2 linked regions of the Rattus norvegicus genome follow. The protein of the gene in region 2 binds, or shares a complex with, the protein of the main gene of each other region. Links are inferred from orthologs where the notes say so. Each region holds a gene or a part of one and is shown on either strand. Other genes may lie near its edges. The genes, in order: Wdr77 and Prmt5.

Region 1 (3,811 bases), on a different chromosome or scaffold from region 2:
TTCAGGGCGCCCATTTTATGTGCTTTTCCTAAACCAAAGTTGTAAAGCTCTAATAAGATCAGTTACTGACCCATAATTGCTAACGGAGTGCCTAGTCCACCAATGCCAAGTATAAATAAATAAGTTCTAGATGTTCTGCGAACAGTAGACTACAAAGACAGTGGGCAGTTAAGACTGATTGATACTCAGGTGACTCACCTAAGCAAAGCAGGTAATAAATAAGCTTTGGAGGAAAGATGAAAGGATAAGTCTTTATTTCACCTTCCAGTATTTTTGACAGTTTCTCTGATGCCGGATCTTCAATCTTAGGAGTCCAAATATACAGCGCTCAGACTTCAGCTCTCCAGAGCAAAGTACCCAGATCAGTCCTCAGGGAATTTTTAGGTGGGAAAAATGACAATGACAGATTTCTCTGTAACAATCCATGTCAATCTTCTCGCTTCACTGAAACACTTTTAATTTAAGTACTCCATCATCCCTAAAACTGTGAAATCTAGGACAGGAAAGCACTCATCTCTCATACACAACACAAAAGAAGGAACACAGGGTGAGCGAGCGCGAACTCCAAGGGCCAAATTGATTCACCCAGAAAGTGGATTTGATTCCATTTAACAGGCATTCGTACAAAACTGTTCTGTCTTCTCAAGGTAGTCTGGCTAGACTTTTGTATATGGGAAGTAATTCCCATATAGTGAATTAAACTCTATATAAAAATAAGTTACGCACCTCTGAGTAATGTGAAGTATTCCCAAGCATCCAGGGATACCCACACTCCATATCCCTAACAACATAGTCAGCCCCCAGACATGGGAAGCATAAAATCCTCTGGTCATTTTGTCGGGGGTAAAGAGCATTGCTTTGGGAAAGCTGAAGGATAATTTTCTCCACTCCAAACTATACACTGCACTCACACGTGTACTCACACATACATCCATTTATAAAGGAAGCTTTTTCCTCCAAGTCACTATGGGATGCAGCCTCCCTCAGGCTGAGAATCTGACTAGTTACTGCACGGGACTAGGGAGTAATCATGCTCTACAAGGCTCCTGTGCTCTCTCTCTCACAAATGGAAGGCAGGGGCAAGCGAGTCGACACTTGCAGACAGAAGGCTCTTTTCTTCTGCAATCCATTCTACTCCACAACACTGTCAGGTCCAGGGGCTGGGAGAGGCTCTAACGGCACAACATGGTGGATGACCTGATGGTCCCAGCCAACTGTGGTAAGAAGGGAGTGATTGAGTGGAGACCATGTAGCATCTCTCACAAAGTCTCTGTGGGCTCGACTTCTAAACCTAGAACAAGAGGGGAAAATGTGGTGTGGTAAGAGAAAAGATGAAAACCCAGGAGGAACGATTAAAAAAAAAAATTAAAAAAAAAACTAATAACATACACTTATGACACATTTTTTGAAACATTTCACCATCTACACAGCCCCATCACCAGGCCAGTGGATGTTAGATTATCCAATCCAGTCTACTTTCTTAGGTGAAGAAATGGTGGACAGAATCGGAAGCAATAATGCCCACAGTCAACAGGAAATTATGGCAGAGGGACACACCCAGGCCTTCCATCCAGTGCTTTACAGCAAGTTCCACTTCTCAGAAGTGGCGCCCTGCATGAAGCTGGAGCGCTTGGTAAACAGCCTACAATCAGACAGCTTCCAGCACTCGGTCTTAGACACACAGCTGCAAACAGAGACGACTTGGGGGAGGGGATATCTCTGCAGACAAAGATGAAGAATTTTCTTGTATTTATACTTATTTTTAATAATCTCCATGTGGGTGGGTGTGCAACTGAGTGCGGACGCACACAGGTATCATATGCATTGGATCTGGAGTTACAAACAGCTATGTACAGACTGATGCAGATGTTAGAAACAAAGGTATTCTAAACTGCTGAGCCATTTCTCCAGACCCAACAAAGGAAGAATTCTACATGCATGTTCCTGAAGAGAAAACAGACTTGCTTGCCTACTGGTCTTGATCCCTGATTCCCGACCACAGGATTCTACTTCAAACTTACACCTCAGAAAAGCTTGAATCCAGCACAGCAAGTGAACAGTCTTCACTGAGAGAGGCCAGGAAGGGAACACTAGGAGAGGACACAAAGGGAAGAGAAGATAATGCCCATAGGTTCTACAACCGAAATCTAACAGGGCCAGCCCCAACCCCACTGTAAAGTGAGCCGGGGAGAGGGCAGTCTGATGCCCACTTTGGGTTCAGATCTTACCACCATTACATCCAAGGAAGATGGAACAGAGCCAGTGCTCACGGAAACCAACCAGCCCAAGGGTCCTCCCTACATTAGCAATTACCCACCCACAGGCTCTGAGCAGGAGTGAGATTACATCTTAGGTCTTTCCAAACTACACAAACCAAATAAAGACTATCTGGACAAGCTTAGGAAAACCAGGTTAGAGTACTGCCCTATCTGAGGTCCAATGTAAGCAGCTAACGCTTTGCCAAATAGACACATCCCTGTATCACTCCACTCCTACTCTTTCATTACAGTCCCCACCCATCCCTTCCAGGTTCCTGGTAACAAACAGTACCTGTGTGGAGAGAACACCAGTCTAGTGACACACTGCGAGTGCACAGCTGAGCTGAGGGTGCAGCTTGCATTCTTGGTGTCCACAAGGGAGACAGATCCATTCTCATCACCTGTAGAAGAAAGAGAGCATGTCACAGTGGTTAAGAATTTATGATTTGGGCTAAGTAGCACACACCTTTAATCCTAGTATGTGATGAGAGGCAGAAGCAGAAGGATCTCAGAGTTCAAGGCCAACTGGGCCTATCACGTTCTAGGACAGTCCAAACTACATCTACATACAGACCCTGTCTTGGCTGAAGGGAAAAAAAAAAAAAAAAAAAAAAAAAGCCATAGACACTGATGTCAGTCAGATGGGAGATTTGAATGAATCCTAGTTTCTCAAGATGTAGACAACAGTTTCCTTTGTGATATAGAATCAGTCAGTCACTATGTGGCTGTGAATTACTGGATAAAGTTATTACATTAACTACAAACTCTTGCCATGTGTAGTCACACCACAGCAGAACATAGTTCCCTAACAGCAAGCACTTGCTATGCAGCTCACTGATTTCTAACCATGCCCAGAATAAAGGAGCTGAAACAATGAAGCAAACCTATTAGGAAAAAATGATGGTCTCCAAAGCTAGGTAAAACCGACATAATCCATGCAGTGCCCAAGTGTGCTGACAGGAGCATGTACTCCAAGGTATCCGCCCCATTCCCAGAGTCGATACGTCATGCTGCCTTACCAAAGACAAAGATTTCACTCTGCTGAGGATGCCAAGCCAGGGAGGTAGGGAGGTAGCCAGAGGCATTGCAGCCTGGAAGGGAAAAAAGGGAGATTTGGAACAATGGTCACAACCTAGAAGAAGCTTCTTCCAAAAGAAGTCAGTAAATCCTGGGAGCACTTTCACTGAGTTTCTTAAAGACTGCCAGAGCAGTCATGTATGTCCTCACCCCTGAGCCTACACCTACATCTACCCATCCATCTCCTGCCATCTCCTGTACAACTAAAAGCACAAGACATAAAAATAATAACCCTGACCCTTTGCCCAGCTGTTTGCACAGTAAACTACACATGGAAACTAACCCTTACTCTGGGTACCCCATGCACTGTGGTCAGCAAAGTCTCAGTGAGACAGAAAACAGTGTTGTCAGAGGGTGGGCATCTAAGAGTTCTGCTGTGACTGTGAGCAGCAAAAGCCTCCTGCACGTGGGCCCCATTACCACTTCCTCCTTACCATGGAGCTCAGACTCACCCATCTGTGATGCCGGCTTGGGAC
Region 2 (4,476 bases):
CTATAGTCACACAGAGTCCGGAAGTTATGCCACCTGCCCAGAATCAGAAACAAAGAAAGACCCTGTCAAATGCATATGGCTTATAACTCAAGGAACACTCGAAATCCGTTCCCCATAGTCCTCACCCCGCCCTGTGCAGGTAAAGCAGCAAGAGAGACATACCACAACCACGTCTTCTCCTCTCCACTGTACTCCTCTGTGTGTGCAGTTGGTGCATTCTCAATTACATCATCTCTCAGGTCCTCTGGGGCCACCAAGGGGACCCTCATCCAGAACTAAATATGAACAGGTACCCTGTTAAAGCGCTGTTTCGAACTCAGTGGGTCCAGAAGTTAATCTCTTTATATGCTTTTCTAAAGATTTATTTATTATATTTATTATATAGAAGTACACTGTAGCTGTCTTCAGACACCAGAAGAGGGCATCAGATTTCATTACAGATGGTTGTGAGCCACCATGTGGTTGCTGGGATTTGAACTCAGGACCTCTGGAAGAGCAGTCAGTGCTCTTAACCACTGAGCCATCTCTCCAGCCCTATATGCTTTTCTAAATGTGATTACACGTGTTTGATCTCATACATATCCTTATACAAAGACTTAGCTTGTCTTTTACTTTAAATAGAAATAATTAAGTATTTTCTCTATCTTTAGTTTTATAGTACTAAGACTCAAACCCAGAGGCTCCTGTGTGCTAGGCAAGTGATCTACCACTGAGCCACATCTCTAGCCCCATAAGCTATGTTCTGAAACTCTCTGCACACCGCTTTTAGACGGGGTGGGGGAAGAACAGTACTGACATTTCAATTCTGCCAAATGCACGTGGCGGGGGGCGGGGGGAGCATAACTGGGCAAAAGGTACAGCTAGCGTGATACACAGTAGGAAAGAACCCTCAGTCATACCATGGAAGAATGGTGGCCAGTGTGGATGTGGTTGGTCAGAACTCTGGCCAGATTTGTGTTATCTTCCTGATTAAGGGGCAATAGGAAAGCTGGAAGACCTAGATATGCCCCAAAATTCAGCTCCTGCAACATAGCCTGAAACATAGGATGAAAGAAAACCATTAAGAGCTAAGAACCAAATACTTCTGGGGTAAGGTAGAGTAGAAACTGGCTCTGACACTGTGGCCCAGGCTGTTCTGGAATTTTCTCCATAAGTCAGCTTGACTTGGAATCTGAAGGAGTCCTCACTCACTCTCCAGAATGCTAGGATTACGGCTGTAAGCTGCCATACTCCACCAGAGCCAAACGTTTCCTCTTTTGAAACAGGGTCTGGAATTCAGCGATTCGCTGAGTTGGAGATGTACCTCTGTTGAGATTATAGATGTAAGCCATCACACATTTCTTCAGACACTTAACTGTACTATGATTTACCAGGTTACTCTCCTAACCTAGTTTAGTGACAGAATTACTTTATGTCCTTTTCTTTTCCCCGCATGGAATTCTCAGTCCTCCCTCATTATCTTCCAGATGTGGGAATAGCCTCCCAGATGCTTGAGATTGCAGATAGGTGCCACAATACCCAGGTCAGGCCTAACTTTTAAAGGGATCCCACAGAGAAATTAAACTGCCTTACCGCCTCAGAGTTCCTTCGGATCTTCTCCACTTTTGAGTCTGGATGAATCCATGGAGAAAGCTTTCCCACAATTAGCGTATTCCAGTCTGCACTCCCCCACCCAAGAAAAGACAAAGATTCAATGGGGTTTGGCATTTTCTTGCTCAACTTCTAGTTCTCAGCAGAGAGTAAAGAGGTGAAAAGCAAGACTTTTTTCTCTCTGATAGAGGGATAGCCTGATGAAGAATGGGGGGACTGCAACTTTTAGAAAGAAAGGGGAAAAAAAGTTGTTATTTATGTCATAGGGGCTAGCCAATATATAACCAAATCAGAGGAGGAAAATTAAGTCCTATAAAGCAGAAGATATTACTGCCTCTAATAATTAAGGGGCACAGGGTAAGGTCCCTACCCCTTCCTGACAGCAGTAGGTCTGATCGTGTCTGGGGGCCAGGCCGATTCTTAGCAGGTTCCTGAATGAACTCCCTCTTGAAACGCGGGTGGAAGACAGGCATGCAGAGGAAATCAAACCTACAACCGTGACAGACCCAGAATCATCATGTAAAGTAAGGGCCCAGAGATCCAAGCAACTGGGATATTAATATCTTGATTTTGCACAGTTCCATAAAGCCATCATCAGTCACCCCACGGGCTATTGAGTTCAGCCCATCTTGGGACACATCACTTTCACAACACTGTGCATCAATTTCTTCCCAAAACACAATCATGAACCGATGAGCAAGAAATGGACATAGAAGTCAAGTAGATTTCTTTCTTCCCTGACTTCACTGGCTTTCCAGGACTGTCAAATTTAGACCTGTCCCAACACTGCCCATGCCTCCTCAAGCCAGATTAACCTCTTCTCTCGCTCGCCTCCTTATACTTCTCTCTACTCTCAAATAATCCGTCTCCAAGGCCTACTGTACATCCCTTTTTAAATCTGCCCTGTAACTCCCCTGACTTTTGAACTCCGTGACCACACGCCCCCCAGAGTTTCAACCTCTCGTTCTTGGGGCCGAAGTCTTCCCCACTCAAGGAGTAATGGTGTCTCAATCCCTCATCCCCTGCGAGGTACTAGTCTGCCCTCCTTGTTCCCCAAATTTGGATCCCGCACTCCTCTGGAGGAAATCCGGCCCTCACCCCTGCTTGGCCACAGCACCCAGTGTGTCAGCTATTTCAGGGACGCAATTCAGGTCCCTCCCGCTGGACACGCGGCTGCCACCAGCACCTCCGACTGCCATCGCCGCCATCTTTTCCCTCGCGCAGCCCACGCCGGGATTCCTTGCTATTAGAGGCCAATCACAAAGCGGAGAACAGTCCCGGGGAGGCGGGACAAGTCGCCTTAACAACCAGAGCGTCTTTACAGCCCCAAAGCGGAGGTGGAGGGACCAAGTCGCTGCTCCCACCAATCCGCAGACCGCACAGTGACATGGGCGTGGCACCCTTGCTCTACCAATGACAGGCTCTCGTTGCTGACGCTCTGCAATCTCCCAGAATGCCCAGTCCATCTGTAGCGCTCTAGTGAGACTACAGGTCCCATGCAGCCCTGCGGGATAAGTCTGAAGTATCATTATTGGGCCGGCCTGTAATGTCTGCGGGCCAGTGGCGCAATGGATAACGCGTCTGACTACGGATCAGAAGATTCCAGGTTCGACTCCTGGCTGGCTCGTTGGGACTGGTACTCCTTTATTTGCATCCCTTGCTAATCTAATCATCTCCCAATGTTGCTACTTCAAAACGTCTTTCTTTTATATCCTCTGCTATTTCTTTCACGCTGTGGTTTTCAGGTCTTGGTTCGATTTTGCACCCATCTAATGCTGGCCTTTCTCATTCCTCTCTTCAAAGCTGTTTTGTATATAATCAAGTTATTCTGAGTATGAAAATTTTGGTGACTGGACTATTAAAATGAGTTTTGTCTCATTGTTTTGCTACACTTAAAAAATAGACTGTAGTAAATCACCCACTAATTCCTACTGATTCTGTCCCAAACACGAATGTAAGTAAATATCTTCGCGTGCGCACACACCTCAGAGAAAAGAAATTCACCAGAAATTACAGTGCCCAGGAACCATGAACCTGCATTTCCCACTCTTAACAGCTGCTCGCACGAGCAAAAGGAAATTACAGAGGCAAGGAAAGACCTAGGAAGGGAAAAGGGAAACACATCCCTGAAGACAACAAGCCCATAGATACTGAGGGCCCTCCAGCCAATCTGACGGAGTTCTTTTCTCAGCTGAAGTTCCCTCTTCCCAAATAATTCGCCTTGTATTACACTGACTTAAAAAAGCAAAAACAAAAGCAAAACAAAAACTAATCACGATATCCACGACAGGAGACATTGACAGAATTCAGGGACTAACTAACAAGGAGCCAGGAGAAAATAATTAATGATAATGATAATAATAATAATGACAACAATGACGACGTTCATCGTTTTGTCCCTGCAGTGGGTAGAGGTCAGGGAGAATCGTATTTGGGGACTGGATAGGCTGAACTGGTCGTCTAGAGAGACCTGAACCAGGCAATATTTGGACATGACTAGTGAGATTAGGGGTTCTGGAGGACAGTGCTCTTAGCAATACAGAAAGGACATGGAGTCCTGGGTCATGTGAAAGTCAGGAAACCAGAGAACTAAGAAAACGTCCCGTGAGGGTGTTGAGGGTGCATTTGTACCCTGCCACCTCCACCACTACCACCTCCCCTCCTTTTGCTGCTCTAGGACCTTGTGCAGTATACATCCTACATTCAGTTGCAATTATCCGTAGGCTCCTACAGATTATTTCTCAGATGTTCTTCGTTTCTAATGATTGATAATTTTGATGAGTGCTCGTCAGACATGTTGTAAGATACCCTTCTGTTAGAACTTGTCTCATGTTTTTCTCATGACAAGACTAGGAAAGACAGTAAGAGATGAGCTGCTGTTTTCTC

What was found.
Region 1: Prmt5 (region 2) and Wdr77 share a complex: the UniProt entries of both Homo sapiens proteins name them as parts of the methylosome complex. The link is inferred for Rattus norvegicus from reciprocal best matches to the Homo sapiens genes PRMT5 and WDR77.

What each region holds. Positions count from the first base shown.
Region 1 is NC_086020.1:196,130,267-196,134,077, reverse strand, and holds the end of Wdr77 (methylosome protein WDR77), read right to left. Parts: coding exon 3,788-3,811; intron 3,350-3,787; coding exon 3,278-3,349; intron 2,660-3,277; coding exon 2,551-2,659; intron 2,091-2,550; coding exon 2,022-2,090; intron 1,292-2,021; coding exon 1,132-1,291; 3' UTR 225-1,131; downstream 1-224. UniProt on the Homo sapiens protein: Non-catalytic component of the methylosome complex, composed of PRMT5, WDR77 and CLNS1A, which modifies specific arginines to dimethylarginines in several spliceosomal Sm proteins and histones.
Region 2 is NC_086033.1:31,945,501-31,949,976, forward strand, and holds the start of Prmt5 (protein arginine N-methyltransferase 5), read right to left. Parts: upstream 2,813-4,476; 5' UTR 2,799-2,812; coding exon 2,689-2,798; intron 2,080-2,688; coding exon 1,961-2,079; intron 1,659-1,960; coding exon 1,573-1,658; intron 1,035-1,572; coding exon 900-1,034; intron 276-899; coding exon 163-275; intron 34-162; coding exon 1-33. UniProt on the Homo sapiens protein: Arginine methyltransferase that can both catalyze the formation of omega-N monomethylarginine (MMA) and symmetrical dimethylarginine (sDMA), with a preference for the formation of MMA.